3 linked regions of the Schizosaccharomyces pombe genome follow. The gene in region 3 interacts genetically with the main gene of each other region. Each region holds a gene or a part of one and is shown on either strand. Other genes may lie near its edges.

Region 1 (10,098 bases), on a different chromosome or scaffold from region 3:
AGGTGGAAGTACTCTGACGTTAAAAATTCATATCTTAATTTTCATTTTGGTTTTTTAATTTGTTTTTGGACATTAGTATATATCTACGATAAAGGTTTTCTCCTTTTAATTTCATTGTAATATAATTCAAGACTAAAATTGGCTTTTCATTGGATTGCGAATCTTTCATTGAATACTATCTTTTCAACTTACATTGAACGTGCATGTAAGGATAGGAAATGGAATGCTGAGATAATGAACAATACAAACCTTTCTAATTAATTCAATGTTTAAAGCAAACTCATTTAGCGAAAAATTCTAGCTTATTAAAACAGCTGTCAACCAGGGCGTAGAGATTACAATATAAAGACCTTACTTACCCTTCTTAATGTACTACAATACAAAATCATAGTTAAAAGAGTAGCTTTTTACGTCCCTGCCGACTGTTTATGTAGATGCATGAAAAACTATGAGAATATAATTTAGTAATCGTTTATATAAGCTAATACGCATTAATATTATATTAATTCATAATGCTTAAAAATCAAAGCAATTTCAATTTCCAAGTGGGTTAGAAAGTACTAATGGGGGGTCCATATTCTCTTTAAGACATTACTCACTTGAATAGCAATTATGACTTCGTCTACTACCTCAAGTACTATGTGGGGGGGTTGACCACTTATGAAAGTGAACCTACTAAAGTAGTTAGTGATACAAAAAAATAACTAAGTGCGCAATAATTCTCCGTCAACAAATAAATCGTTGAACTAGTATTAGTATATTGGCGTATGTAAGCTAATATAGTCGTTGTTTGCGTAAAACGAATTCAAATGGCTCCCAATCTGTGTTAATACGTTATGTTATGTATGATATAAGCACATTGAACATATCGGGATGAGTCAGTACTATTTTATTATTAACAAAATTGGTTAGAATTGAATATGACAAGTTGAAGACTCAATCAGCTAAGTTTTGTCATAGATCGGATCGGAACAGGCGATTAACAGTGTTGTGCTGAAGAAAATAGACAACAATATGATCAATAGAATCAACATATAACAATTAATCATCATTCATCGAACGAATGCAAGCTTCGCGATTAAATAACCGCGAAAGATTTAGTGAACTAAATATTCTCTCAGCTTTTCATAAATAAATTAAAATTAAAACCCAAATATATTAGAAAAAAAATTAAACAAATGCCAATGAATTTAACAATTAGATCAGTTTACTTAATAAAAGTTAAGTATTGAACTTTCTGACCCTTAAAACAATAAAGAAGGATTAACAATAAGGATACGAAACATTTCAAGAAAACGGTAACTTCTAATCGCAATTGCTGCAGTATTAAAATGTAGCATGACGAGCGAATCTCAATCTTAAGAGTACACAACGAGGCAAAATGATTTTTTTATGTTGCTATCCCACACTTCTCAATACCGTTGGTAACTCATTAGTAATAGTGTTATTCTCACAAATCTCCTTAGCGGTGAAAATTCCAATTCCATGATTCATAATCAATTCTGCTAGGGGTAACTCATCAGTGTCATCTAAATCAACGTGATAAGGGATGTAATGCAGCATAGTCAAATTTTGAAGATAACTGCTTGTTTGTAGCATAGCAACAGGACACACTAATAAAGTGGATGCTTGAAACTCGGTTGTGTTTTCTTCAGGCAAATTGACGACTTTAACCTCTTCATAGTAAGTCTCCCAAAATTTTGATATCATTTGTTTTGTGGAGTAGTTATAAAGATGAGAGGTATTAATTTGGCTAAATTTTGGACGAGCAAGCATCCAAGTCGGAGCACTATAAATCTTCCAAAAATAAATAGTCGTGGGCATTTCCGGATTAAAATACAAATTACAATTTTCCATGGTTGTTACATTTCTCTGTTCGATAATATTTTTTACTTCCAAAACCGCAGGGATAACACCATTTTGATGCATTATGCCGAAGAAAACTGCCAAAACAACTGCATACATTACAAATAAAAATTTGATCCAATATGAACGAACTAGACATCCAGAGTTCACTATAAAAATAGAGGCTGCGGGTAGCAAAAACCTGGGCTCTTGGTGAGGAAACAGGGATAGTATGAAAACGGGGAGAAGCCATAACCAAGTTGCAGGTTTTCGAACGTCCCAAAGCTTTGGAACAAAAATCAGAGGACCACAAAGGAGTGGCATATTAGTGAAAAAATGTGTTAATCTTGAGTGCAATCCGTGCTGTGACAAATTTTCGATTTGAGAATTGTATTTTAAATTATTCCAAAATGTTATCACAAACACCCCATAAAACTTGTAGTCCTCGAGGATGCATGCTAAGACAGTTGCAAAAGAAACTGAAACAAAAATACATAAGTGCAAAAAGATGCTAATCCAGTTAGTGTTTATTCCATAATATATTTTTAATTCAATTTAAAAATCAAAATCACTTACTCTTTCGGATTGTTCACGTTCTTTTTAAAACATCGAACAGAAAAATAGATATAGGGGGCGATCACAAAAGCTAAAAAAGTGATTCTTGTGAAAAATCCTAATACACTAACAATTGCAAGCAAAAATGTATATAAATAACTAATTTTCTTGTTTAATGGCTGATTCTTGTTAGTTAAGAGTTGCCAGCTATTAACTTACCACACTATTCAACTTCGAAAGAAATAGTATAGTTAAAAAAAAGAAAATCGTTTCAATTGAGTTTGTAAAAGTATGTGTTTGAAATGTAGTAGCCATGAAGGATGAGGAATATAAAAGCAATGCACTCCATCTTGCGTTCAAAGGTACGATGTTCCAAATACTCAAATCTGCCAAAATTAGTCAAGGAAGGAGGAAATAAGGTTTGTAGTAAATTCTGAAATAAATTCCAAATTTATCAGAGCTTAATATTCGCCAATGTACATACCTATTAACAAAGAGATCAAACACATATAGAGTCTAGTGAACAACAAAATAGGATACGGAGAGCAGTTCGCTTTTGGATATGTAAGAATTTCGTTCAATTTAAAATACACTTACATTTGCAAATACACCGGCAAAGCAAGAAAATAGGTAAAAGCATCACATTCAAAGGAACTACAGACCGAATTGGTTTTTTAGTAGTAAATTCCCATGGAAGTTCCACTTTCCAGCCAAATAATTTATCTTTATATTAGTCATAAATTGTTGAAGAATTGTAATATACTTGCGAATATTTGAAACGATTGTAAATGCTCATCCGGATGTATGTATGAGCTGCCTTGCGAAAACCAAAAGCGTAAAATTAGGAGAAAAGTATAAATTATAGCATATTTACGGTTTTTAAACATCCTTAATCTCAATGGATAAAGCACGGGATTTATTGCTTCAGTGTGCAATGGATTACACGATGAAGATATAACGAGATATTCCGAACTATATATGTTTGTTATGAAAAAGGTTTGCTAAGCGAAAATGTAAACAACTCTTGGTCGACGGGTATATGTTTAAGAATACACGAAGCATACAAAAAGTATACGTTAAACTAATGTTTCAGTAAAATAATTGTACTAGAAGAATTGCAGGTCTTATTACATTTTAAATTAATCTAACTCAATACCCAAAACATAATTAATTTTAAACAAATCTAATATTAAAAGCCGTATTTTGGATCAACGATGGGGTAAAATCAATCACTAAGTATAAACAATGTCAACTCTCTTTAAAAAGGGCAAAAAGTTAATAAACTATAAACGAAGCCAAACGTAACATCAAAGATAAAAAATAATACAAAACCCTAAATGCAAAACTGTGCAAATACTTGCATCACATTGCAAAAGGAAATATAGTTAGACACCCATTAATCACAGGTGCAAGCAAAATGTCTTGCTTTGGAAATTAAAACATCATTTTTGTTTGCTTGTCGAGGCCACTGCTGTCTTTCTGGATGGCGGAACTTGAATTCCTCGTTCTGTGGCCGTGCGAAGACAATTTTGTCCAACTTCACTTTTATAATGTCGGTTAAGTGCATCCATGCGAGCAAACCTCTGATTGCAAGTGACACATGCAAAGGCTTTAATGCCAGTGTGTAACTGCTCATGTCTCCGTTTATCATGCTGTCTAGCAAATGATTTCTTACAAATCGAACATTGAAAGGGACGGTAATTTGTATGTGTATTCATATGACTTTTCAAATTATAAGCCCTAGTAAAACGCTTATTGCAACCAGCAAATGTACAAACGTAATTTCCTTGAGACTTAGACTCTGACTTTGCTTTAGACGAAGACGAATTTTCCGATTTGTTTCCTACTAGCGAATTCAATGATCGACTTCGAGGACGAGTATTTCTAACTGACAAATAATCGTTCGACTTAGAATTATCATTCTCTATTTTTCCCAGCAGTTCGGTATCTTGGTTAACAGATAGACATTCAGAAGAATGTGAAAAGTGAGTATATAATTGAGGTATGGGCTCATAAGCATCAAATCGTGAGCCAGCACTATTTGATCGATGACGAGCCGTATATGTGGGTGACATTTCAGGAGCACAAAGATTAGCGTTTTGTAAGTCATAAGAATTTTCATTCATAGCAGGTTGACCAGATACTGGAGATGCAGACTGGCTATAAGTGATACTAATGTCTGTTTGAAGAAGAGGATTTGCTGGCAAACTAGGTCCAGATTGGGATTTGGAAGGAGATGAAGGTACTACATTAATTTGTGGGGTACCCGAAAAGTTGTTTGAATCATAATTCAAAACGGAATTGCTTAAAGCGGTAGGAGAAATAGGGTCAAAAACGTGTGTTGTTAAAGAGGCATCTGCATGGTCCTCAGAAAAAGGAGAATTTACAGAACGAATAGTAGATTCTCTAGCATTTTCGCTGTTTAAAGTCCTTCCGGAGTTTGGAACAAGATATGGGGATGACTGGTGAGAAAATTCAGCGGAAGGACTGTTCTCAAATATGAAAGAAGGTGTGGAATGGTTAGACAATAAATCAACGGAAGGATTCAAATTGGTATTATCCGTATCAAAATCTATACCAGTGTTGCTTTCACCAGGAGACGCGTTCGTAAAGGCCCCCAGGCTCCCGGAAGAAGGTGGTTGAAGGTAGTCAGCAAAAGAACCGGTTCCGGTAATATTTTGTTGATTCTCCATCAATAAAGATGGATCTTCAAAATCAACAGAAGGAAATCTCTCTGAATCAACTTCAGTTCCAGATGCCTGTGACATTACATCAACAAAATTAAAAGCATCGGCTTCATACAGAGCACCAACAGAACCTTGTAAATATGGAGAACTCGGATTTGAAACAGATCCTGAGGGAAGGAAGGATGTTAATAGCTGAGGCGATGAAGATGGAGAAATTTCAGAAGCCGCAATTGCACGTGAAACTGGTAAGAACTGAGAAGAATCGATATTTGAAGACGGAATACCAATATTAAACTCATAAATGGATTGTCGTCTTGAGCCAACATTGTTAACAGTAAAGTCGTTGGCGTTATGAGTAGAACTCGAACCTTGAGTCAAGTCAAATGCTTGCGGACTATTTGATGGATTACTTAAAGGGCTAACGGAGTTTTCAAATACCGCTTGACTACCGAAGCCACTGACTGAAGTATCGTTCAGTTCTGTAAATGAAAAAGTAGGTACATTCCCGGTTCGAGGATAAGAATCATATTCATCGGATTTTGAAGACGTTTTAAAAGGCTCGGAGGTGTTGGGATGGAGGTGCTGAATATTATTTTTAGAAGGATTGGAAATTAAAGAAGAAGAAACTTCAGACGCAAGAGTATCCTCAAAAAGGGGGATATCAGCAAGCGAAGTGTCATTCATGTACGTATGCAACTCGCTAGAGCCTCCAAGATCCGGCTTTGAAAGGTTATCGTATAAAGAAGAAGGATTCAAGTCTTTGAATCTACGATTCGCTTCTTCTGACCTTTGACGCTCCATCGATGAAATTCATCAAATAATTAACTTTTGGAACGGTACGCTCTCAAAAATATTGTCTGAAGACTCACCAACTCTCTTTAATTGAATGGTTAGACAAATTATTTTTCAAAAAGCCTATAACGTGAATTTTTTGACCGAATAGTAGAGTAAAGCTGGTTTGTAGTAATAAATTGGATAAACCAGCAACACCAAGGGTGTGAAATTTATTAGTGGAATGAATAATTAATTACCAAAAGTATCGTTTAATAAACGAAAAAATTAAGACTTGAGGTCGTCAAAGTTAATCCAGTGCTTCACAGGATTTGATCAGATAACGACAGAATTTCTTGATACAAAATTTTGTATTTTGGAATAATGCGCAGGATAAAAGTCTGAGAAGATTGATGGTTAGTACAATATAATTGTTAGCTAAGCAACGTCAAAAAGGGCATTAAGCAATACAAATGAGAGGAGAGAGTGCGACAAATGAGATTTTCACAGATCGAAATGAGGAAGTAACCTAAAGGACAGCACAAGAGAAAACCCTTTAACGATTAGGAAAAATTGCAAAATTAGGTAGACAAGTATACAAGCGCAAATCGCTAACTCGACATGAAAAAAAACAGAATAGCCTCAATATACTACAGCGTCAGCTAAACGCTTTGATTTTCACAGAAAAAAAAATGATAGTTTAATAAATGGCCAGCAGATTATATATTTACAACGGATGAATTGCTAAATCATCAAGATATTTCTGCGATGTAGTGGTAAAGGATTGCACAAGACGTGATCGGGTAACGAATTTTAAGTAACACGCAGTTTAAACTTGAAGTTAGTATGAAGCAGCAGGATGCTAAAGAACAGTTTGCTAAACAAATTAAAAACAAAATATAATAAATTTCCATATACAAAGGATCCCAGTTAAGGAGTTCCAGAAATGAAAAAAAATTGGTTTTTGAAGGATATTCATCCAATTTTCTATTGAAAATTTACTGGACTTACTAAAGGGTGGCGACTTGTGTATAGTAAAGTGATGAGACATGTATTTTATACAAAGCACAAATAGCTAAATAACATGAATGTATGAAAATTTGTTTTATTTATTGAGCGACATCAAATATATATTCTAGTTTAAGGGGTAGGAAGCAAAGCCACATACTTTAAAGTGCCGGTTATTAGTTGAAGGCGTGCCCAAATGTAATACCACTTACAACATGGAGAACTTCCGTAGGCTTGTCAAGAAGCATTAAACCCCAAAGCTTGAAATTCATGAAATTAGCTTTTCAACACCATCCGAAACTCATTAGTGGGGAAGCAGAATAAGGTGTAGTACTACTTATAAATTGTGGAATAATTCTAAGTTGAAAACATAAAGTACTATAAATTATATGTAAGAGACTTCAAACCACCATGCAATTCTGACTATTGATTATTTTTGAAGAATCTTCTCTCACGATACGACGGACGGCGGCTTTGACGAGTTCCAGGCTCTTTGGTGCAGAGGCTTAGTTGAATGTTGTGAACGAAGCGGTTCATATCGGATACTTCAACCGATGTTCTGTCAACTAATATATATCATATTTGCAAATATCAAGAGCATTTCTTGTATTAGATTACCTAGATGCAGAAAATCCCAATTGTAATGCAACGAAATTGCGTATTGTAATAAATGGTATAATAATCTTATTAAGTATTTGTACTTCGTAGCAAAAGATGACTATATTGTGTTGTAAGAGCAACCTATACACCTCGTTTCGTAAGTTCTTTGATGGCGGAAGCTTCATGAGAAGCTAAAAATTCATAGTATTCTTTCAACCTCTGAAAGACTGATTCTCCGTTCCATAAGTCAATCCCTTCACTATTTTTCGTGTGTGCCGGCAAACCGTGTTGTTGAATGACAAACGAAGCGGCTACAGTAGCTTTAGCACAAGCTTCTATAATATTACCCGTCCTATAATACTCCAAGATTGCAGCTCCACAAAAAGCATTACCAGCCCCAGTGGTATCTAAAACGCTTCCGTTTTTCATTTGTACACTTGGCAAATGAAGAATTTCTCGCACAGGGACAACTGCATCGCTTGTAGCGTTGGTACTACTCGTGCATGCACCAATTAAACAACCATCGGACCCATTTCGAAGAACAACCCATCCTTGAGAATCGTGCCCAATTTGGAATTCTTGAAACGCAGATACAAACTCTTTGGCTCGAGATTTGCTTTCGCTAATATCTATACCCAGAAGGTTGGCAGAGTCCACCTCGTTTGGAGAAAATATATCACAATACTTTAAGGCTTTTTGTAAAATATGCCAGTTTTCCGGTAAACAGGATTCAGGCGTTGGCTCCCATACGATTTTAGGACGATTTTTTAGATTTCCATACTTTGCCAGTTCCTCACACACAGAGACAAATGTTTTAGGATTTGTAATAATATGAATTGTTTTTGCATATATCAATCCTGTTTCCAAAAGATCAGGAGCACGAATTGGCTTTTTAGGTGTAAGGTATTCAAACAATCGAAAACCATTGTCCCTGAGACGGTTGTAACCATATGTAGTTTTTCTCCAAGGCGTTTCTCTGTATACAATTCCAGTATGTAAATCGTTTAATTCATCGAGGATCACCTGCGGGAAATCAGAGCCTTTGTCAACAATCATTCCCAGTTGTTGACTTTCGGGTTCAGACGTCCAGAGTCTAGCACCAATCAATGCTGAAAATAATGTGTTAATTATTATTTTAATAATAAAAATATTGGACGCAATGCATCTTTTTTCTAAGGGAGAGGATTTCAACCTTCGATAAACAGATATGCTTCACCAATGAAGTTCGCAAATCGCTCCGCTTAAAATTTTAAAAAGAATTAGACACTTACCAAAAGATCCTGCACCTCCAATAATATCTTTAATCTTCTTTCCGCCGTCGAATTCAATTTCATCTATAATAAACATGCCTTGCATTCGTTAGCACTTATATGTGAAAGTTTTTACCAGTTGTGACGAATTCCACATCTTTCGAAGGATAATCCATTTTGTTAATCCCAAAAAATTACTGTAAGTTGTTTTTTTCTTAATTATAAGAACATATATTGCTTTAATGTTGGTGCATTAAAAGTCAGAGTTAGCGAACATCTGCAGATAATCTACGTAATTATCAATAAACATCCTGCACTCTGTATAGTAATTTAAAGGTAACATGGCGAATAATTAAATAAAATATTTCATATTTATGAAGGAAGTGTTGAATCATGCTGAAAATTAAGTATCCGTAAAAAATGTACTTTTGCATTTGCTTACTTTTGTATGAGATGAATGGGCATACTACTACATACCATATATCAAGCACACATGTCATACTTAGAACATTGTATTTTCCTAACGATATATAGGAAGTACTCATCATTCTCAAAAAGGAATTATCACTTTCCAATATAAAATTAACTAATCTAAGTGTTAGCAATGCAACAGTCCTGACCAGTCAATTAGCAAGCAATATAGCTAAGTCTACTCTTTTATAAAATTTCAAATGTTACTTCCCAAAGCTTTGCTCTTTAGTGCGGAATGGTAAGATTGGGAAAAAGAAATTGAAGTCGTCTAATTGCATCTGGGTTACGATGCTTGTGATTTGTTTGAATCCCATTTTGAACACTTTCTCGCAAGTTCCTTCCCAAAAATCCTTGCAAAAGTGGAGCTTCTAACTTTTTGACGGCTTCCAGTAAAAAGATTTTTGCATTATCTTTATTGTTACTGATATGTTCCATCACGGTTTCAACAGTAACAGGCTCCTCATTCATGCGCCAGCAATCATAATCCTATTTTTTGTTAAAATTCCTTCCTAATAATAAGTTCAAAGTACTTGTCTAAAAAGCATGGCTTTGATTTGAGAGGTACATTGAATGTTAAAAACTTACTGTAGCCATGCAAACCATTTGGTAGGCAATCTCAGCTTCGCGAGCTAGTTTGGCTTCGGGAATGACTGACATGTTGATAATACTGGCTCCCCAGCTTCTGTATAAATTGCTTTCTGCACGCGTACTAAATGCAGGACCCTCCATACACACGACAGTAAGATCATCTCCTTTGCGTTTGGTATGTAATTTAGAACCATTTTTTAAGTTGGAGCCGCATGAACTTAAAATTTCATACAAGTCTTGATCAAATGGATCACCAAACGAAACATGAGCTACACAACCAGATTCAAAAAAAGTGTTTGGACGAGCACAAAGGGTGCGATCAA
Region 2 (12,359 bases), 910 kb from region 3:
TTATCCATTAATTGCTGTTACGTATGGGCGGCACAATATCACTTACATCTCATGAATTAGCGACATGAATGTGGAGAAGCTTGGGGAAAAAGAATGCGACAAACCTTCCTACAACGTAGCCGTTTATTTTCATAGGAATAGATAGAAATAGAATTTATTGAAACATTCTTCATTTGAAAATGGGTTTTCAACAGACTTGGTATTCTACCTTTACAAACTTATTATATTTTCTTCTTTATTGCTCCATTTGTTATATTCACCAGCCCCAATTTGATGTAACGCATTTCGCAGTTCCTTTCTGCACCCTACTGTTCTTTACGGTACATCACTCTTATTGTTAGCTACGCAGTTCGGTATCTGTTTACCGATACATATTGACCCGCGGTGAGTTTCTCTTGCGATCTACAATATAACGGTAAAGCGGTATGCGGTATGTTCACTAGTATCTTAGTATATGACATATAGTGATACGCGGCGTAGTAAATTATATAGTGTAGTGCTATATTGCTGACGCACAATTCGCTTTACTGAATTTGTCTAAGCTGCACAATTTTTTTACTGTTCCCGCTACGCCGCCTTACCTTTGTAGTACATGTGACTAGACAAACTCGCTCTTTTATCACATCTCACTCTTTTACACTATGCGTTTTATCGTATTCCTTCATTATACACTATGCATGCTGTACTTTTTAATGCTACACTAAAAATACGCACACTTATTGCTTTGAATTCATTTACATTAACTTGTCACTCATTCACTATTTTTACATTAGCACCTTTTTTCTACTTATGCTGTTATTCTGAAAACAACAATAGAATATCTTTAAATGATAATTTGTTATTATAAGATAACTAGTTTAATTCCATTTATTCTAAAAACATTAACACCTCATGATCGTTTGTTTAAATTAGAGTAACAATATATACAAACAAAGAGACAAACGTCAAATAGGCAATTGGCTTATTAGCTCCAGCGGAGGATGGGTATAAGCCAGTAACGTTGGTGTTGTTACCGCCTGTGAAACCACCCGTCGTGTAGTAGGTATAGTTATAGGTAGCTGAACCGTTCCATTGACGAACGGTAGACCAAGTAGATGTACCAGATCCTTGATAAATAGGATTGCTAGTAACAGTACTGCTTTCAGGTGCTTCGGTAGAAGAAACAGTTTCGGTAGCAGGAGCTGAAGTGTAAACACTAGTAGTATAATAACTAGTGGTAACAACAGTGCTAGGCTCGTACTGGGTAGAGGAAGTAGTGTAAGTAAAAGCACTAGATTCTCCGGATACTCCAGTAGTCGTAGTAACATGAGTGACAGGATACACGGTTGAGCCAGGAACGACAGTGCTAACCACAGTAGAAGATACAATAGTAGTGTAATATCCACTTGAAGAAGTCTCAGTAACAGCAGTAGTAGGTTGAACCTCAGTAGCAGTAGTGACTTGAGTCTCAGTACCAGCAGTTCCAGTAGCACCAGTAGTAGTTTGAACCTCAGTGGCAGTAGTAGCTTGAGTCTCAGTAGCAGTAGTAGCTTGGGTTTCAGTACCAGTAGTGACTTGAGTCTCAGTACCAGCAGTGCCAGTAGCACCAGTAGTAGGTTGAACCTCGGTAGCAGTAGTGACTTGAGTCTCAGTACCAGCAGTTCCAGTAGCACCAGTAGTAGGTTGAACCTCAGTAGCAGTAGTAGCTTGAGTCTCGGTACCAGCAGTTCCAGTAGCACCAGTAGTAGTTTGAACCTCAGTGGCAGTAGTAGCTTGAGTCTCAGTAGCAGTAGTAGCTTGGGTTTCAGTACCAGTAGTGACTTGAGTCTCAGTACCAGCAGTGCCAGTAGCACCAGTAGTAGGTTGAACCTCGGTAGCAGTAGTGACTTGAGTCTCAGTACCAGCAGTTCCAGTAGCACCAGTAGTAGGTTGAACCTCAGTAGCAGTAGTAGCTTGAGTCTCGGTACCAGCAGTTCCAGTAGCACCAGTAGTAGTTTGAACCTCAGTGGCAGTAGTAGCTTGAGTCTCAGTAGCAGTAGTAGCTTGGGTTTCAGTACCAGTAGTGACTTGAGTCTCAGTACCAGCAGTGCCAGTAGCACCAGTAGTAGGTTGAACCTCGGTAGCAGTAGTGAGTTGAGTCTCAGTACCAGCAGTTCCAGTAGCACCAGTAGTGGGAAGGACCTCAGAACCAGTAGTTGTAGGAGTATTAATGACAACCGTAGTGGTTCCAGTAGCAGTTCCAGTAGGAGTAACTGTGACAGTAGATGTCTCGGTTCCAGTGTAACCAGTTGTAACAGTAACAATGTCGGTTTCAGTCGCAGTCACTGTGGTAGGTGTTTGAATAACAACTGTAGTGGTTCCAGTGGAGGTTCCAGTAGGAGTAACTGTGACAGTAGATGTCTCGGTTCCAGTGTAACCAGTTGTAACAGTAACAATGTCGGTTTCAGTCGCAGTCACTGTGGTAGGTGTTTGAATAACAACTGTAGTGGTTCCAGTGGAGGTTCCAGTAGGAGTAACTGTGACAGTAGATGTCTCGGTTCCAGTGTAACCAGTTGTAACAGTAACAATGTCGGTTTCAGTCGCAGTCACTGTGGTAGGTGTTTGAATAACAACTGTAGTGGTTCCAGTGGAGGTTCCAGTAGGAGTAACTGTGACAGTAGATGTCTCGGTTCCAGTGTAACCAGTTGTAACAGTAACAATGTCGGTTTCAGTCGCAGTCACTGTGGTAGGTGTTTGAATAACAACTGTAGTGGTTCCAGTGGAGGTTCCAGTAGGAGTAACTGTGACAGTAGATGTCTCGGTTCCAGTGTAACCAGTTGTAACAGTAACAATGTCGGTTTCAGTCGCAGTCACTGTGGTAGGTGTTTGAATAACAACTGTAGTGGTTCCAGTGGAGGTTCCAGTAGGAGTAACTGTGACAGTAGATGTCTCAGTTCCAGTGTAACCAGTTGTAACAGTAACAATGTCGGTTTCAGTTGCAGTCACTGTGGTAGGCGTTTGAATAACAACTGTAGTGGTTCCGGTAGAGGTTCCAGTAGGAGTAACTGTGACAGTAGATGTCTCAGTTCCAGTGTAACCAGTTGTAACAGTAACAATGTCGGTTTCAGTTGCAGTCACTGTGGTAGGCGTTTGAATAACAACTGTAGTGGTTCCAGTGGTTCCAGTAGGAATAACTGTAACAGTAGAAGTCTCAGTACCAGTATAACCAGTTGTCACAGTAGTAACGGTGCCAGTAACAATGGTTGTAGGAATGATATACGAAGAGTTTCCATAAGGAATCTCAACTGTGTTGGTAACAACAGGGCCAGAGGAACCGGTCAATGTAGTTGTAAGAGATCCGGAATATCCAATGGTAGTAGTGGTAGTAGTAGCCGAAACACTGGGAGTTTCGATATAAACTGTAGTGGGACCAGTCTCACTTCCACTGTGAGTAACAATAGAAGTAAGCGTGGTTGATCCAGTCCAGCCAGTCGTAATAGTAGTATAACCATAATTAACACTAGTAGTGGTAGGGACATCAACAGTTTCAGTAACAATGCTATTGCTACCGCTACCAGTCAAAGTAGTAGTTACCGAACCAGAATATCCAACAGTAGTGGTGGTAGTGACAGTTGTGGGATAAGGAGTCTCCACATAAACTGTAGTAGGTCCAGTCTCATTACCACTGTGAGGAACAGTAGTGGTAAGAGTAGTGGATCCAGTATAACCAGTGGTAACAGTGGTGTAACCATAGTTAGTAGTAGTGGGAACCTCAACAGTATCAATAACAGTACCATTGCTAGGAGCTCCAGTCAAAGTAGTAGTGACGGATCCAGGATATCCAACAGTAGTGGTGGTAGTGACAGTTGTGGGATAAGGAGTCTCCACATAAACTGTAGTAGGTCCAGTCTCATTACCACTGTGAGGAACAGTAGTGGTAAGAGTAGTGGATCCAGTATAACCAGTGGTAATAGTGGTGTAACCATAGTTAGTAGTAGTGGGAACCTCAACAGTATCAATAACAGTACCATTGCTAGGAGCTCCAGTCAAAGTAGTAGTGACGGATCCAGGATATCCAACAGTAGTGGTGGTAGTGACAGTTGTGGGATAAGGAGTCTCCACATAAACTGTAGTAGGTCCAGTCTCATTACCACTGTGAGGAACAGTAGTGGTAAGAGTAGTGGATCCAGTATAACCAGTGGTAATAGTGGTGTAACCATAGTTAGTAGTAGTGGGAATCTCAACAGTATCAATAACAGTACCATTGCTAGGAGCTCCAGTCAAAGTAGTAGTGACGGATCCAGGATATCCAACAGTAGTGGTGGTAGTGACAGTTGTGGGATAAGGAGTCTCCACATAAACTGTAGTAGGTCCAGTCTCATTACCACTGTGAGGAACAGTAGTGGTAAGAGTAGTGGATCCAGTATAACCAGTGGTAACAGTGGTGTAACCATAGTTAGTAGTAGTGGGAACCTCAACAGTATCAATAACAGTACCATTGCTAGGAGCTCCAGTCAAAGTAGTAGTGACGGATCCAGGATATCCAACAGTAGTGGTGGTAGTGACAGTTGTGGGATAAGGAGTCTCCACATAAACTGTAGTAGGTCCAGTCTCATTACCACTGTGAGGAACAGTAGTGGTAAGAGTAGTGGATCCAGTATAACCAGTGGTAACAGTGGTGTAACCATAGTTAGTAGTAGTGGGAACCTCAACAGTATCAATAACAGTACCATTGCTAGGAGCTCCAGTCAAAGTAGTAGTGACGGATCCAGGATATCCAACAGTAGTGGTGGTAGTGACAGTTGTGGGATAAGGAGTCTCCACATAAACTGTAGTAGGTCCAGTCTCATTACCACTGTGAGGAACAGTAGTGGTAAGAGTAGTGGATCCAGTATAACCAGTGGTAATAGTGGTGTAACCATAGTTAGTAGTAGTGGGAACCTCAACAGTATCAATAACAGTACCATTGCTAGGAGTTCCAGTCAAGGTAGTAGTGACGGATCCAGGATATCCAACAGTAGTTGTTGTGGTTGTGGTAGGGACTGTAACAATAAGAATTGTTGTTGGAGGGGGACAACTAGTACTTGTTGAACCAGATGTGGTTACAATTAAAACCGTTGCTGGGTTGCATGAGGTGCTAGTCGTATCAGCTACAAAAGTTGAGCTCGCTTCAACAGCATTTGAAACTTGTGAACCTGAAGTGGTAGTCGAATCAGGAAGAAAGGTAGATGGGCTTGCTTGAATTGCATAAGAAGCTTCTTTCCCTGAGGTAAAAGTGCTAATAGCAGTCATGGAAGCGTCGTTGCTAACGGGACTAGCAGTAATGTAGTTAGCATCATTTCCATTTTTTACTGTGAAGGTGCTAGTAAACATGCTAGGATCAACAGCAGCGTCTCTGCCAAGTAAGGTTGGCATATCGTCAACTAGGAAATTTGGATCCGCAAGCTCGGTCTTTGGAAGTGAAATATCGTGAGGCACTTCATTTTGTGATGCAGAGGAAAGGTAATCTTCAGGTTCCATTCCCTTTTGCAAAATCCTGACATTTCCAGAAGGTAGACCAGAAGTCAAGGAGGGAAGAAGAGCAGCCGTGAAAAGTAATGCCCGAGCAGATGTGGATAAAAACCTTCTAACAGACATTGTTGATATATTCAAAAACGGGTAAGTGAATTAGAAAAAAACAAAATTATTAAGATAATTTAACCAAACGAATAAAAAAATTAAATATTATCAAAAACAAAATTAAATCCAATGCTTGACGATTGGTGTGCAGAGCGCGTTTATTGATAATATGATAGAAATTCAATTAGAAAAATAGTGAATCCCAAATGAATAAAGCTCGTAGTTTCAACAGAGAATGAAGAAAAGAGGGTTTAAATGAATGCAAAATTGCGAAAAGATTAATGAAAGAAATAATATATATAAATAAAAAATAACTGGATGAAAGGAGATTCGCAAGCTGTATTACCAAACCAACCCAAACACGAAATTACCCAGTGTTTATTTTGTGTAAATGTAGGACAACTTAAAACCCAATTTCAACCCGAAATCCTAGACGATAGAATGGGGGATGTAAAGAAAAAAGGGGAGAATATTAAAAAATAAATGCTAGCCAGATTTATTTTAAATTATTCAAATGAATGTAAAATACCCACTTGTAATTCAAAAGAATGTAGAATATGTACAAGAGCAGATTTGTTTCTCAAAAAAAAAACAAAATTGGATGCTGGCGAAAAGAATGAGTGAAGATATTGTTATCACAGATTCGTGCAGCGAAGAGAGATCAAGTCGCTTTCCCAAAATAAAGATGGAAGGAAGGAAACAAATGATGATACAACAAAAAAAAGAAAGTTCCAATAACCAAACTCTAGCAACCTCAACAAAAAGAGAGAGACAGATGGTGTATATGGAATAGGTAATCCTTTTTTTTTGCAATGTTCGAATCTTTCTCGATGCTTTGCTTTTATAGAAGAAAGTCAACGATCTTAATCTCGTTAAGAATGTTTTGGATGTTCAATTGATGACTGATTGACGAACACTCGACCACTCGCCTTCAATGTAGGAGCGAAATAACTTTCTTAAGTAGATGCGGCCATATTTATAAATAACTACACCCAAACCAATCTGTGTGAAATTTTAGCAATGAATATTTACGGAATTTTTCCTTTGCGACTTTTTCTATACCCCTCTCTCTGTACCCCGATGACCCTTTTCTCAAATGTTCCCCGTTTTTGCAAGTTTTTCTTTTTTTAGAGAAACATTTTGAATTCGAATTTAAAAAATCGTTGTCACCTATGTGGAAGACCCCGCGATAACATAAAACCTCTTCGCAAATTCTAATTTCGGCTAGGGAATAATCTCTATCTCGGGAACATGGAGGTAAGGATCCACTTTTGCATTCTGTGCTGGTTCCTAAGAATATCGAGGTCGAGCGAAGAAGAAAATTTCGATATATGGAATAACGAGACCGAGTATGCTAAAGAAAGAGAAGAAAAGAAGGCTGATTACAGGAGTAGTGTAGAGGATGTAGCAAGCGCAATTTTAATTGCAATTAAGAAGCTAGTGAAACAAGAGATTAAGATTTAATTTGTGGAGATGACAGGAGAGAAATGAAAAAGTGCGACTATGAAGAATGATGAGTAAGTGAGTGGAAGTGTAGTAGAGATGGGGTTGTGGTAGCGAGAAAGGCGGTGTTTAGAAGGATGTAGTAGTAGTTCATGCAATGTCAATTCATTAGTTATGCAACGTCTAAGTCGTTAGATTTTCAATGTTTGCTTAGTGATCAAAGCATTTATAATTGAAATTTTTTAGTTCAATTTTAAGGTGGCAGCGTTCAGTTGCTATTTTTTCGCGTCTATTTGAATTGCGACGATTGTAAACGAAAAATAACCTTTCAATATTATGGATGGATGTCCATTCGCGCATTGGAAAGTTTCTACTGATTTGAATGACTTTTTACGCGTCCTTTTCCAATTTCTTTTCCTACAATTTTTGGCAATTGTTTTTGTTTTTTTTGTTATCACCACTATTGTTTCATCTTCTCCCTCCAACTAGCGTTCTCCTCGGATAAAAATACTTGCATTTACTTCTATATGTCCAATTCATAAAATTACAAGTATGTCAAACCTCTGCCGGCTTATAGTCCAGCTTGCCTTGGAGGCAGAATGCATGGCGGCGCTCACCAGGTGTTGTCAATCTGGTCCCGTAGAATGGTGGTAATTTTTGCAACTCTCATTACTCTACGCTAATTATATATACTGCATTCTTAAGTAATATAGTGAATCGGAATGAGTTTTTTTTTTTTTTTTTTTTTTTTTAAGCAAATTGGATCGGAAAAACAAGGACAAGAAATGAACGAAAGCCTTGATAATTACGAGAAAAATTACATAAAATATATGGAAATCTTTTTAGAATGAAATGAATTCTTTTGCTTCTTTTCCAAACGTCAAAGCCAACGTACTATATCCTTTTTGCTACTGTGTACATGCTACGCTCTACTTCACTAAACAGTCAGGTCAGTATGTACTATTTTCGGTCAGTGTGTACTTTTTGCTCTGGTTGTGATTAAAGCTAGTTTGGCTTAGCCATCATGGATGGTAAAGCCGGCAATGCCTAGGCACATGTTGAAATGGTTATTTTTATAGAACTAGCTATTTTGGATGAAAGTTTGAGAAGGAAACCCGAGAATATAGACTCACGAATAAAGAAACACTCATTAATTATTCGTTTAAAAGATATGAGAAGAAGTTAAAACAAGAACCTTTCTATTTTCATCCACCATTCACACAACAAATACTTTTTGTTTGTAAGCAGCTTCTTGTGTTTCTCGTCTATTTCTGTAAATAACCAACATCGGATAGCACACCCACTTTACTTTCTATTCTTAGTAGCCGTCGTTATTTATTTTTAGCAGTAACCCGCTCCTGCCGTACTAAACGGCATTCATAAACGGAATTAGTGCAGTGTAGTGTAGTGCATTCAGTGATCAAAGGGGATCTTATTTTCTTCGATTGTCTTCTAAGTTTCTCTATTTTTAGATGGACATTTTAAAAAAAGTCTTCTTCGTGTATTGTAGAATACCTTACCCCCAAAAATAAAAAAGAATAAAAAAAGAGAATCCTGAATCACACACACTCTCTCTCTTTCAAACATTTTTTTTTTCTGTGGAATTGTCAATTTATGTGCTGCGAAACTTTTCGCTAATTTCAACTTTACGACTCGTAAAATGCTTCGTTAAGCAAAAGGGGTAGGCTTATATACTATTAGTAAATAACCATCGGTCCGACAAGGCAAGAGGGCAATTTCGATTATGCATCCAATTTTCATAAACTGTAGAAGGGAAATTAGATAAAAAAGAGGTGGCTGAATCAGATGCTTTTCTTTTCTTTTTTTTTAATTCATTATTTGTTTTCACACAGTAAAGTTTTATGTGTACATACGAATTCACCAATATTCATACACTCGGGTTCCCATGGAAAACAAGGCAATCAAATTACGATAAAAAAATATATATATGTAAAGAAAAGAGCAATCGTTAATTGTTGTTGTTGTTGTTTTTTTTCGAAGAGAAGTCGTATTTGTTTCTTTTTTTTCTTAGACATTTTATTGTTCCTTACCTTTATTTGTTCTTCCATGCTTTCTTTATTTACATAGGGTCTCCGTTACTTGATGTTCTTTACCTCTTCCTCGTGCTGAAATTGAATGGAATACGTCATGATTTCGGTAAATCAACCCTTTAAATTTTCGGTAATCCTTGACCAATGTTTGTTTCTCAAATACAAAAACACTAAAGCTTATACGTCATGACATGATGTTATCTGTTCGTTGAGTGGAAGGATGATGTCAAACACATTGTCCAATTGCGGCTTTTAAATTTCGCTTCCTTGTTTATTTATGGCATCATATGAAGAAGGAGAACATTGTGACTCCATTCCGCTTCGTTATTCACCTTTTCAAAACAAGAGGTTTCTACGATTAGCGAGGTCGTCGTTAAGCATAATTAAAGAGAAGAAGATATACAAGATGGTAATTTGATTCTTTATTTCTATTTATATTTTATTTTTTACTTTGATACTTGTGTCCCACTTGTTAATTCTATTTCTATATTATTTTTTCCACTTTTTTAATTCTATTTCTGTTTTCTATTTTCTAATTTTCCGCTTGCTACTTTTACTTCTATTTACAAACTCTATGCCTATCGTGCGTGACTTTCTAAACAAGTCAAGGTTTTATCGTTTCATCTAATGTTTTATGGCATGTGGAAAGTTTGTTAACCTTCCCATAATTTTAATATGGTTTCATATTCAATTTCTCTTGTTTTCTCTTATTCTCTGTTGGAAAGGAAAAAAAGTGGTTGAGAGTATCATTTGTTTCTTTCTACTTTTCTCCCCTAACTATTGTGAATCTATCATCTTAATCTCTCCCCGCTTTACAATCATTCAATAAGGAAAGTATTAGGAAATGTTGCTGACTCCCACTTTCTCTTTCCCTCTCCCTCTCCCTTGCTCCAAGGGGATGGATGTTGAATGTTCAGAGACCGGTATTAAGGTGGAGTGCGTTGTCGTTATTCTCATGAATGATGGAGTTGGAGAAAAAACCGATTTTAAGAGGGAAGCGATGAAAGCTGGGGGTTGAAAAGGATTGGAGTGGAGTGGAGTGGAGTGGAATGAATTGAATTGAATTGGATTGGAAAGGAAATGAAATGTTTATGTTTATGTTTATGTTTAAAAGGATGATTTGGTTTTCAATTCAAAATTTCAAGCTGTCAGTCTTTTCTTTCTTTATAATCGCTTTTTTTTTTTGTTTTAGTTGTCATACTTTCTGTGTGTTTCTGTTTCCCGCCCACTTTCTATGACTCTTGTCGAATTGTCACACATTTCTTGCGTATACAGTTGGCTGGCTTTTTTCCTTCTCATTTCGTCTGTGAATTTTAGATAGGCAATTGAAAACATTCACAATGAACAAGGGATACTTAGCATTCTTTACAACAACCTTTTTCAACGTTTGTTTCTAGGGAAGCATATTTCTTCAACAAACCGATTTCATCTTTTTACCCAATTAATTTAGTAAAGGTCATTTCAAAATGTATCACTTTTTGAGAGAATGGGTTTGTTGTGCGTCGTTCACTAAATCACTCTCATTCTAGTCGACGGAAATATTCTTTTTCACTGTGGTGGTTGTTGTTGTTATTGTTTTTTTTTTTGCGTTTCGTCATTTCTTTTTTTCTCGATTATGTGGAAATGCAATTTGTTAATGGAAAGGCTGGATATTGGATGATGCTTGATTTCCTAATCGTTCACTAATATATTAAATAATCCTTGTTCAACCATTTTCATTTCCTCCTGTGTTCTTCCATTACCTACATTTTTACTTGTTTCAATTGCAATCTACCATCCATGAGGACATGAAGATTTCTAATTTATATTATATAGACATACATGTTTACACACAATGTATATATATATGATAATTTCTTCTTCTTTCCGACTTGGCCACTTATTCCAATGAGTTCCCCTTGTTTCAACTTGTGTATGTTTCTATTTTTGAGTCGCTAAGCTAATTCCACGTTGTTTTCATAGACGTGCAGGTTTTCAGGAATGGGATGAAAATCAAATATCCCTCTTCTCTGTTCTTCTTTCTTTTTCTCTTCTCTATTGCTCTTATTTCTTTCCTCGTCCCTTGAACCCAAATTGATTGAATTGTTTTTCATATTCTCTTTTCCATCTCCTTCCCATATAATTCGAGTCGCTAGTTATGTTGAGCAAATTATTTATTTTCCATCAAACTATTCAATCTTACACAATTCCTTTGATTACTCGATCCACAATCATTAAATAATCTCACTTGCAACTTTTATACACAATCCCCTGATCCCTTTTTTCGCCTAGTTTTCCTCCTTCTCTTTTCTACTTCATTTCAGAATTTATGAATTGCATCTCGTTGTATGCTTTACCAATACTACCCATCACGAACTCTGCTATTCTTGTTTAAAAGTTTAACTCAACGTGCTACCTGAAATTCGTTTACCGTAGCCGAAGTCAAAATGCCTTTAAAAAATTTTAAAATCCTAACAAACAAAGTTAAGTTGGTTTGCGTTGCTCAACGTTATTCTTTTTTTGCATTCGGCTTCTAGGAAACACTACTGGATAGCTGGCTAATTTAAAATTGCATTTTCAAACATCGGAAAAGTTGCGAAGAGCATCGGAAGAACGGCTATGGAGTTTGTTGGATTTCGGGTAATAAGGTAAACTTTTTACTACTTTTTCCAAATTTTATTTGTTCCTTAAATGTTTAAGCCTTTTATCCATGTCCACTCAACAAAACAAGAAATGACTTTTTACCGCTTATTTCGTGCTCTTAGCCGTTGACAATGCTCTCCGGGTCCACGGTACTATTTGCGTATAAGCTTGTTCTCCGAATTTCCATCTATAAGAGTTATCTTAAACTGATTGAGCTTTGATAAAATTTTATCCAACTTTACTGTGGATTAGAAATTAGCACGTTGTTTTTTGTGGAATTGGTAAACAATGGGAGACTGGGTTGCTGTTTATTTACATTATAGTTAGGAGTGGAAGGAAAGTGCATGCATGTTTTATTTTCCTCTGAAAACTGACGTTACAAAATTTCTTTCTTTTTCTTTGTAATAAAAAAAATTCCCATTTTTATGTCTTGATTTTTTCCTTGTTACGATAATTTTGTGATACCTTGTTTTTGTCCTTTTTTTTTTTTTTTTTTTTTCTATCATCTTCTAAACTTACTCGGGCATGTAATTAACTATATGTTTGATTACGATTATTCCCCATTAATTTGATTGCGAAAACTTGATGAAGCATGGACTGATGGCTGGTAAAGTAGAATGTACGATTTACAAAGGATAAGGTGAATTATTTTAATTAAACTTGACA
Region 3 (11,069 bases):
TCGCCATATGTAGTAACTTTAAACAAAGTGCCGAAGGAAGACATACTTTACAACACAAATCTGGATAAAATAAACCTCCCTGACAATATCAAATTCCTTAAAAAAATACCCTACTGCCGACTAAATAAGATATGCCACAAATCTAGTTGACTGTTTTACCAATCCCTTTTTTTTTTGTTTAGGCAAAAGACAGCTAATTGGCAGCGCAAAGAAACGCAGCTTTAGTGCTGTGAAGATTGTGAGTTGTATCACAACAATTTTACTTGCACATACAGACTTCAATTTCAATTACCTTATCTACTATTTATTGCAATTTATCCTGTATACCTTTACCTTGCGCTATGTTTATGATTATGAACTTTTGCTAGATTGCGTTAATCGCTACAGTTTATGAATCAACGGGAATGTTTAGGAAGGGAAATCACAAATCTCGTGATTTTTCATCGATAATCCTATCTCTATTTTTATAATACGGACAACTCTACTTTACGGATTGCTATATAAACTGTTCTTATATTGCGCGCATGGTATCTCGAAGTAAACAATCACATCTTCTGACTCCGGTCTACTTTATAAGTTTTATCTTACCAGGTGTAAAACCATAGACATATTGTAATGTAAGCTAAGGCGATTTCAAGTATTAAACGCCTTGGTTTTTATTAAGATTGATTAAATAATAAAGTTCGAAGGTATGCTAATCAAATTCGGTTCATTTTTGCGGAACAACAGGCATTTCGCGATGCAATAAACAAAGAGGTATTACATATGCGTATAAACATTTAAACATAAATATGTGTCCATCCATATGCTTTAGTAAGACGGAAGGGATTGGTGAAGCATCTTTAGCTTTAGATTATGAATGAATATCACAAAAGCTCGGGACGTGTTTTTTTTTTCAAATAATAAATAAACAAGAGTAAGAGAAAGAAACATTAAATAGCTTCTCTCGTCTTAAATGCCAAAAGAACTTGAGAGAAGCTTTCGAAAATAAACAGGAAATAAAAAAAATGAAAAATATTTTAAGTAATTAAGAATTAATAAAAAGAATAGAAATCCGACCTTCCAGAAGTTATAAACAATGACAAAGGAGCATACTATATAAAAGTACAACACCCACTAAAATCAATCCCCTCCACGGCTTTCATCGATTGATTAATCCAAGCTATGTTGTTGCTCATTTCTTGTGCTCTGTTGCAATGTTTATCACTCAAATAATTAAATAAGAATAAGAACTTATACAATAAATAACGTGTCAAGCAAAATCTCCTCTTTTAAGAAAAAGAATTGCTGACCGAGTAGAGACATTCCATAACACTAACATCGTTTTACGAAAAAGATACTTTCGGTTAATCAAGGGCGAAAACCATGTTTACTTGAATTAGGCTTCTGACGAGGATGTTCCTCCGCATCAACATTAACCATTATAGAATAGAAATATTAGTAACAAACCTTTATGCAAAAAGCTAACCGTCCGAATTTCAACTATGCAAACCAATAATATAAATAATAGTAACAATAATATCAGATTTCGGGAAAACAAAGTTGTAGTAATAAATAAACACAGTAGTGCGAAAGGATATGGCAAATATGTGTAGTTGACAATAAAACCATTTTTTAAAGAAAAACAAAAAGAGTAAAAATAAATATACTAATCCCTTGCAAAAACTTTTCAATAATAAAAAAGTAGTAAAGACAAATAATTTAGTGACTTTCCAAAGGCCACTTATATCCAGAATGAAAGAGTGTCTCGTATTGAAATAATAAAATGGGAGATAATTCCACTGTTGGTTCAAACATACACACCGGGATTTCGCAAATTAATTCGATTAAATTTGCAGTACAAGCATATACTCGTGAAGAGAACCGGGAGTCTGAAATAATGTCTGGGGGTAACGTCGTATCAGGCTTGAATGCATTGATAGACTTCACTTCACACCGCGTATACGCCATCCAAATCTGCACATCATTTGCAAACCCAGTGCCATAAATGTGGAACATTGAATTTTCATCAAGTCGAATAAATTTCACAAACGGCATACTAGGAACTACGTGAAATGCGTTTTGGTGAATTGGTTCGTTATAAAACATCGTTCGAACAGATTGCGTGGAAATAATTGACCACATGGCTGACCAAGGAAGAACAGAATGAGTGGCTTTCGTGGGATCATTGGGATCTGAGTATTCTAATTCACCTGAAGTGAAACTGATTTCACTAGATTGTTTTTCATCTATATACAGGAAACGCTTGGTTTCGTGACATTGAAAGGCTAGTTTGGAAAGACAATTAATGGCTTCACTTGGGGCCCTCGAAGAAAGCGATACCTTCCAATTATCGTGCTTCTTTAATATCAAGGGCGGCGATTGCACACCGGTTATTTTGCTTACTAAAATGATAACCATATTGGAGCACAACACTTTGCTTCTTGAGTCACTTGGATTGGAATTGTTTCCTTTGTTAAGTTCATCGACAGAAAAAATATAAAAAGGTTCCCATAAATTGTTTGCCATAGCCAGGCCGGCACCTTCGTTTTCAGCATCGTTAGGGGCGTCGGTGGTAGGGAAATAATTCGAATTGTATTTCATGTTAAGGGAAACTTTTGATATCGCTCTTTGAACATTGCTGGTACCTAGGAATAATGCATTGTTATGCTGAGCCCGGTATCTGTTGAATAAACAAACGCAATCACCATGGCGTATGCTCATGTCAGACACTTTCATCAGTGCACGTTTCTGACTTGGTTTAGAAATAACCCCTAGTCTTAAATTTTCAAGTTTGAAATACTTGGTTTTTGATTGAACCGAAAGTTGTAAAAATGTGGACCGGCCAAAACCATCATTTTTACCTTGGCCAGTATAATAAATAGTTTTTAATAGAGCATTACCCCAGACAGGGAATGAGTCAAAATTAGTGTTTTCATTATAATTTGTAAGCTGATAGGTAGATTTTGCAATATCAGTTTCAGGACTGATTAAAGCACCATCTGCATTATAGTAAAATATGTTTTTTGCAAACTTTGGATTGTCTTTGTCTTCCAAAGTTTGAGCAGAGATTTTCAAATTGTCTGTAACATTATTAAGCCATGTAGTCCCTAAAAGGTATAGCACAATGGGCGGACAAAGATATCGTCTTTCCGTTCCATAAGATTTTTGGCAAAGGGATGGCATACACAAATAAAAGGCGCTTAAACAATGGCAATTTGACAAAACATACTGAATCCGTTGTTCAATGGTGACGGGCTGGGAATAGACCATCATAGGGATAGAATCATTTCTAGCTGGCTCGCATACGGCCGATGAAGGTCTATTAACTAAAGACTTTGGATAAGTATCTTTGTTTTGGGAGTCTTGAGGATACAAGCCCATCTGCTCTGCCGATGTGGGATAAAGATTGGGAATCATGGATCCTCCGTCGACGGTAGTAGGATATTGTTGAAACGATTGATTTGGCACATCGGTTCTGGACAGGGGTTGTTGAAAATAAACAGATGATCTATCATAAGGAGGCATCATTGAAGGAGACTGCTGATAGTATGAAAGTTCTGCATGATCTTGCGAATAACTTTTTTCCTTCTCCTGGTAAGTGCCAAATGGAACACTCGGAGAATAAGGAGTAGGAAACCTTGAGGACGGAGAAGAGATGTTGCTTTGAGCAGCCTGATAATCGTTTAAAGAAATAAAAGAATTTTGATACTGACGGTAATTATTGACTGTTCCCAGTACAGAAGCTTTTTGTGGTGGTTGTAAATTTTGAGATTGAGAGGGGATGCTCTGCTTGGAAGTTGAGGCATAATATTGATTTGGAGAAGAATTACGAACAGAATCAGACGATGGAACATTGCTGTTCATGTTGACCTTTAATGCAGAGGTAGGTCGAAAAGAGGGGACCGGATGAGCAGGAATCAGAGGTTTCCGTTGTAACTCATAAGGATAAGAGAATGCATATTCATCATGATTTGGGACGGGTTGATGAGTTAGGCCTTGCGAAAGGTCATGCTGAGAAGAGAATGACGGAATAGTGGTATTAGAGGAACCATTTTGTTGTAGATTTTGATAATCTTGCATTTGGTTTAAAGATGGGGACTGAGTAGGGAGAATATTTGAGCCGGTAAAGGAATACGCATTGGGTTGAGAGGAATGGTCAGGAAGGACAGAGTAATTGTTTTCAAAAGTTGCTGGCGGATAAGGATGCATCTCATTGGAAGGATTCATCGTTGTATAAGGTGTGGAATAGGTTTGGGTGTTATCCTGTGAGTCCTCCTGAGGTAGACCAAAAGAATGAAATGAAGGATTAGCAAATGCTGTGCCATCTGCGTTCAACGCTTGAGATTCGTTTTTTTCCGAGTAATACGGACTCACTGAAGACGTGGAGTGGGCCTTGGAGCTACTGATGGCGGGTGAAACCGAGTCTCCATAGATGCGAACGGGTTCCTGTAAAGAGGTGGATTTGGCGAGTGAATACAATTGTGGAGACTCTAAATTAGCATTGATGGATCCTATTGCTGTAGCGACTCTTCTTATGTTCCTAGTTGAATCATAAAACTCCTGTGTTTTAATATCTTCGGAAGAAGGACGTTTCTGAACGTTTGGGGACATAGAATTTGACGAAGGTGAAAAGGATGCAATCTATTATATCCGTTTGGAAATTTTAAAACTTTTAAAACAAGCCTTTCACCTCTACAGCTGAATTTAAGAGATCCGTGGACGTTAAGTTTAAAAGTTCATGTACGCGCAATGTCTGGTATTTGATGAGCTGAGATCACTTAACTTTCCCTCAACATTAATTGCAACGAACAGGATGACCTATCAAGGGTAAAAAGTAAACTATTTAGCTAGCGTAAAGGTTGTTACAAAAGTGTTGTGTTTTCGTACAAAGTCAGGAACCAAATTTCTTAAGTCAATTCATTAATTTTTGTAGCAGTCCTAATCTTCCTTTTTTTTCTTTTTATTATTTACATGATTCCCTAATTCGGAGAAGTAAAATGTTAATCCGGTATTACTTGGATATACAGCCTTACGACGTTACCGAAAAATCGTTAAACAACATGTACTTTGGTTTTTCCGATTTTGCCTATAGCACGAATTGAGTGTGATATTAACGGGAATACCACTGAAAATAGAACGGCCAACAACTGTGACTTCGCAAAATTTTAACTGTTGGATGTCCAAATGGTGCAGAATGTTTTCATACCAACCACGCACGTCCACTTAGTATTCCCAGGATGGTAAATTGAAAAAATAAAATGCACGATAGGATAGGTAAGCCTCTTAGCAAGACCGAAGATTTGGCTTCCGTTGGTGACATTCGAGACTCACTTTGAATATTAAGCAGATGAAGTTTTGCCGCTTCTTAAATTCCTGATAGCAATTACGTACAAATTTTTTTGCTTGTCGGCGCCTTTTTAGGTCCGTTGTCGGTTGACACCTCAACGATGCCAATTCTCGACTTTTGAGCTTGCGAAGGAGATAAAAATGTTTTAAATGAAAAGGTTAAAAAAAAGGTTTAAGATTTTAAAAAATTTAAAGCAAGCAGTTTTCGGGAATCAAAATAATGTATGATGAGGATTTGCAGCGAATCCTAGATCCAACGGATGAGTCCTATTGATTAGTCAGTTATAATAATCCAAAGTAAGTTTTTCCAGTTATGTTCAACTTGTGCAGTTTTACGTTGACATAGCAAATGTTGGTAATCAACGAAGTAAACACTCTCAACATTCAACCAGTCAAGTTGAGCATTGTAAAATAGAGACAATCCGTGGGTCACTTATGATCAACTTTCCTCCGCAACGGACGCTATACCCCTCAATGGGATAATGTTACCTCGTGTAGAGAAAAACAATGAAAAAGTCGATCGCATGACGTTGCTGACATTGTTTACTAACATTGCAAAGTAAATAAATAAGTAAACAATTATACCAAGTAGGTTTGTTTACATTATGAAAAAAAAAAATTTTAAAGAGTTGCGTTGATTACTTTCTTGGTATTTACTCTCGTTATTTTTCGCTGTTCATTTGTGTTTGTTATTGTTGAAAGTTGTTGTTGATGGTAGGTGTGGTGCAGGCTCAAGGCCGTATTTATAAATGAATTAACGAATGTGTGAACCGCATATAGTCCATTAACATACATTCAACTTATTACTTAAGATGTTTTTAGTAATTGGGGTGTATAAACCTGAGTAACTTTTACCATATTAAGATGAGTTGGGCGGTTTCGAAATCTATAAAAGGGCATGCCAGTGAGTAAACTACCTGGAAATAACCGCTACATTTTTATTCCTTTTAACAAAAATCGTATAAATAATCCATTACGAAGAAAGACTTCGCTCTGTCCTCTTTTCTTACCCAGCATATATATACATAAACTTTTGTTATATTAGCATTCGTTTAAGGCACTTTTTCTTGTCCAAACTTTAATCAACAAGGAAATCATAAACAATTAAAGGTTCATCATTTCCAAACCCTACAAAGACCCGAATTCATTCTTCAGTATTCATAATTTCATTTCCAATCCCTTCCTGCTACGACAAAAATTTTGGTCGTACTTGATAGATTTTATTGCTTTTATTATCCCTAACAACTTTTCCCTCCTTTATATTCATTCTTCATTTATCATAAAATGCGCTTGTCTTCACGCTTTTATTTGTTTACCAGTTTCACTGCGTGGAGCGTAGTGATCGCTGGTGCAACCCCAGCGGTTTGTGGTGCCCCCGAGTACATTATTGAGACACAGAATGACTTGGACGTTTTAAGCAACTGTCAGGTTGTGAATGGCTCTATCATCATGAACACTAGCTCAGCTACTTCTTTGAATTTCAATAGAATAGAGACCATTACCGGTGATCTCATCATTCGTAATAACAACTACCTTGCATCGGTAGCCCTGACATCCATTTCCAGTGTGGGTGGAGAATTACGGTTTGAAAAACTCACACGACTCGCTAGTGTTTACGCACCTCAACTGGCAAATGTTGGCCAATTAACGATGCGTATCTTGCCAAATCTTCAAGGGATTCGATTCGATAAGGGGATCAAAAAGGCCCATAAGCTCACCATCGAGGATACCCAACTCTCCACACTTGCAGGTATTTCTTTGAATACTACGGATACGATGGTAATTGTTAACAACAATTATTTGCGAGAAGTTGATATGCCCTATTTGGAAAGTGTGGAGTCGAAGTTTTACGTCTCTTACAATGCCAGGGAGATCAGTGTTACCCTTCCTAGACTTAAAACCGTGGGTGACATGACGATTCAACGCGTAGCTCACTTACAACTTTCGAATTTAGAAGAGGTCAAAGGATTTTTAGGCTTCCTCAACAGCACGTTGCAGGATATATCATGCCCAAACATTACACGAATTGGACAGTCTCTTTTCTTTATAGGCAATCAGGAATTGACTTCGCTAAATTTCAAGCAACTTGAGAGCATTGGAGGTACTTTTATGATTGCCAACAGTGCAGCATTGGCACAAATCAAAGGATATGATAAATTGAAGACCGTAGCAGGATCCATCGACTTTACCGGTAACTTTAGCAGCGTTGAACTTCCCAAGTTACGAGATGTTAAAGGAGGTTTGAACATACAAACTACATCGAGCGACTTTACTTGTCCCTTCCGCCAGAGCGACGGGATCATCAAGGGCAAATCGTTTGTTTGCCGAGGATCGGTTGACAATCCCAGACAAAGCAAGGAGTCTTCTTTCGATGATGACGATTTTGATGAACTGTTAGGAAATGGAACAATTAAAGGCTCTAAGAACAGTACATCACCGGTCAAACAAAGTGGTGCCGCTAAGGTAGATAGCCGACCTTTCCGTCTTGTTACCTTTTTCCTTGTCTTAGTAAGTGGCTTTGCGCACTTGCTTTAAAGCCAAGAGAGACAAAGTTGACAATGTAAACGCAAGTTCATTTGCAAGATCGAAATCTACCCTTCAAAGCCATGCCGTCTATGATTAACCTGTTTCTATTTAAAAAGTAAATAAATGCTTTCAAAATAATTAGAAGGAAGATTTTCAACCAACAAGGATTACAAAAAAAAACGGCGATAAGTTTCGTTGCTTCATTTTGGATCACTTTACTATTTGCTGTTCCTTAATGGACACAGTGAAATGACGAGAAACCGGTTTTCAGTTGTTTTGTTGTGAGTATGGATAGTGAACACTTTTTCTTACCAATGGTTGGCTTTTCCTCGGTTTATTTATTTATTTTTTAGTACGGTTAGGAGAATGAAAAAAAAAAAGTATTTTTAGTGACTCCAGGTTCTATTGGCTTCTTATTTTTAAAACAAAAATATTCATCATTATTCTTACTATCACAAAACTACCAGTTATTATGTTTGTCTATCGATAACAGCACGCTACTTTTCTAGATGAATCATTTGTTTGTCTTGTTGTAGAGTAAAAGGCAATTTTTTACTAACAGTTAAACCCGCGCGTAGATGGTACTAATTTTATGCCATGAAACATATGATTTAAGTGGGATAAAAACGGAAGTACGAGAGCTGAACAATTTATCTGACAGGCATCCAAATGAATTAATATATAAACCAAGGAATGTGAAATTACATGAGTGAGTCAAGCATGCCTTTCGTCGTTTGTTTAGTCAACTAACAATTAGTGGTATTCAGAATGCAAAAAATATTTTTCTTTGTGTTGCCTCGGGTGTTTCAAGCCTTATCCATCCGAGGCACTCGTGCCTGTAAAAAATTGCAATCGGATAGAAGGAAGGTAAGGAAAGTGGATGAAATTTTTACGCGAATGCGGAGGAAGGCAAAATTTCTTGAAACAAAGTTGGTCGAACCTTGTTAAGTAGTAGAGAGTGTATATGAAGTATGGAAAAGAAAGAGAGAAAGGATGACTTCTCAACGAAAGATGAATTTGGCAATCACAAATGTTTCATATTTGGTTGTCAAGTTTAAACGACTTGCAACCGAGCCGATCACTGAAACAATTTCCAATGATCATAACTAAACGATCCTACTACTTACTGATTTGACGTAATTTGTCCTTTTGTTAATTTTTGGACGGTTTGGATCAAACATTTGAAGTTGCAAATATGATAAACTTACTGCTTGATTAAAAAAAAATAAATAAAATAAAAAAATTAATGATAGAACAACAATGATAAGAGAGCATCATTCATTATGAATGAGAATGTGTTTCATTGAAGCAATAGTTTTTGTGAACATACAAGGAGTGTTGTGATGAAAGAAAATGCAATTTGCCTTTCCAGTTTCTGATACTTCGTAAAGATGATGCTTTTTGGCTTTTGCTTTGTTTAAGGGTAACAAACTTGTGAATTGCCCAAAGCAGAGATGAATAATTTGAAATGAGTTTGCTACGAATTATCTGTATTTATGAATTAATGAAGGATGGATCTAAACCATTTAACAGGTGTAAATAAAAGCTTCATAGATTCTGTATAGTGATTAACAGTTTTTTGGAAAAATAATTTAAAAAAAAATTAATAATAATAATAATAATTTGGAAAAATAATGTTAGAATAACATACCAAAAATACCAGTATATTCAGACAATATGTTTTAAAACTTAAAAATGATTGTAGAGCAATGATTTTAATTATAGCTACGATTAGAAATGTTAAATGTTATTATAGTGTTAGTTTTGCGTTCGATTTAATTTTTGGTACACACGGGATATAACAGTTTGATTAAGCATTACCAATAGAGCAATGCAAGTTAAGAGGTTGTTTAAGCATGTTGTTGTCTAAGAGACTCACAAAAAGGTAGGTAAATGGATTTATTGCTAAACGGAAAATATTGATTTGAAAATTAAATTTTGGTCGTACATACTTTATTCGTAACAGATTTCATCAAAATTTTCACCTACAAAACATTGGAACTCAAAGTGTGACTGAATTCACAATAAGTAAATAATTACACTTCATAGCATACGATCCATTATTTTTTTATAGGTAAGGAATTTATTAAACTTTCCTTGATACCAATCCTCTTCACATAAATATTTATTTAGCGATCGCGTCGTTTTCCAGCGGACGTATGATTAATAGTTTGGTAAAATTGGTTTTTTAAAGCTTAGAACGGAACGGTTTAATATAACAAAACCACGAAACAATGGGTTTTTCGTTTTCCATCCTTTTTTAAAAAAGTTCATCACTCTCAACAGTGAATGCCACTCTCTCTCTAAAAAAAAACAGCGATTTGCTAAATCCTTTAGACAGGAATTACAGCTTCATCACGTAGTTGATATCTAGCCGTACACGTCTATTTACCCTCTCCATCTATCCTACCGTGAACTTGTTAAAAATTGGGATCGCCCGTTTTTTGTCAACAAAAACAAAACAAACTCTGTCGCAGTATTCATTAAAATGTCTCCGGATCCACACGAAAGCTTTAATGGTTATTAAAGGTTTTCATCATCCGTACATTCACTTGCTAAACAACGTTTTCAAGCTAAGCGATAGATAGAGACAGTAAAGGGGAAAACGTAAACGAACGTCTTCATTAACCAAGGTCATCCGTCTACAAAATACCCTGTACATATTCGCACCAAATTAGCGATAATGACTACAAGCGATCACAGTTGTCAAACGGGATAAACGAAATATATGCTTAATTTGATAAGACGACAAATTAAATCAAGCTCAAAAGAAGATTTATAAAGTACGCCATGCTAAAAAAAAACCCCTTGCTTCCTGACATCGTACAAAAACTAAACTGCTCACAAATATACTAAATAATAAATAAATTAGTTAACATCACCCATAAAGATATCAAATCTATTAGTTCCAAAGTCTCCTCTCAAATACAATAAATACTTTTTTTTATATATTGTCCTTGGGTCTGTAACCCACCAATATATTTTTCCTTAAGAAAAGGAATGCTTCAGTTGGTTAGTGGGAATACCGTTTTCCATTATACACTAGATGAGCGGAATAATAATACAAACATCGGAGTGCTAAACGGTGTTGAGTGGAAATTGCGTAAAAGGTTAATAATGCTGAACACCAGCATTAAAACTGATTAAAGGATGGCTTTGCTTAGTTCCTGAACGGAACAAAAACTAAAGCAGTGAAACATTTTATATTGCCTGTT

The links.
Region 1: of cbf12 (region 3) and prz1, changing one suppresses a phenotype caused by changing the other (phenotypic suppression), as found in Schizosaccharomyces pombe (one study listed by BioGRID).
Region 2: of cbf12 (region 3) and gsf2, changing one suppresses a phenotype caused by changing the other (phenotypic suppression), as found in Schizosaccharomyces pombe (one study listed by BioGRID).

What each region holds. Positions count from the first base shown.
Region 1 is NC_003424.3:783,277-793,374, forward strand, and holds prz1 (calcineurin-responsive transcription factor Prz1), read right to left. Parts: upstream 6,637-10,098; 5' UTR 5,889-6,636; coding exon 3,843-5,888; 3' UTR 3,502-3,842; downstream 1-3,501. Other genes in the region: smp3 (alpha-1,2-mannosyltransferase), read right to left, coding at 1,399-2,356, 2,422-2,579, 2,620-2,786, 2,885-2,953, 2,998-3,123, 3,164-3,287; SPOM_SPAC16C9.01C (carbohydrate kinase), read right to left, coding at 7,608-8,575, 8,738-8,815, 8,853-8,892; mta1 (S-methyl-5-thioadenosine phosphorylase), read right to left, coding at 9,413-9,673, 9,773-10,098. UniProt on the Schizosaccharomyces pombe protein: Involved in the regulation of calcium ion homeostasis. Binds to the calcineurin-dependent response element. Transcriptionally regulates pmc1.
Region 2 is NC_003421.2:958,378-970,736, forward strand, and holds gsf2 (protein Gsf2), read right to left. Parts: upstream 7,636-12,359; 5' UTR 5,596-7,635; coding exon 904-5,595; 3' UTR 822-903; downstream 1-821. UniProt on the Schizosaccharomyces pombe protein: Galactose-specific adhesion protein essential for non-sexual flocculation and filamentous growth. Required for adhesion and filamentous growth through recognition of galactose residues on cell surface glycoconjugates. Induces flocculation when overexpressed.
Region 3 is NC_003421.2:1,865,274-1,876,342, reverse strand, and holds cbf12 (DNA-binding transcription factor, CBF1/Su(H)/LAG-1 family Cbf12), read right to left. Parts: upstream 4,977-11,069; 5' UTR 4,594-4,976; coding exon 1,702-4,593; 3' UTR 501-1,701; downstream 1-500. Other genes in the region: aro2 (chorismate synthase), read right to left, coding at 1-44; GPI-anchored protein Meu10, read left to right, coding at 6,613-7,863. UniProt on the Schizosaccharomyces pombe protein: Transcription factor which function may be to trigger the increase of adhesion at stationary phase, possibly by counteracting or replacing cbf11 at the respective promoters.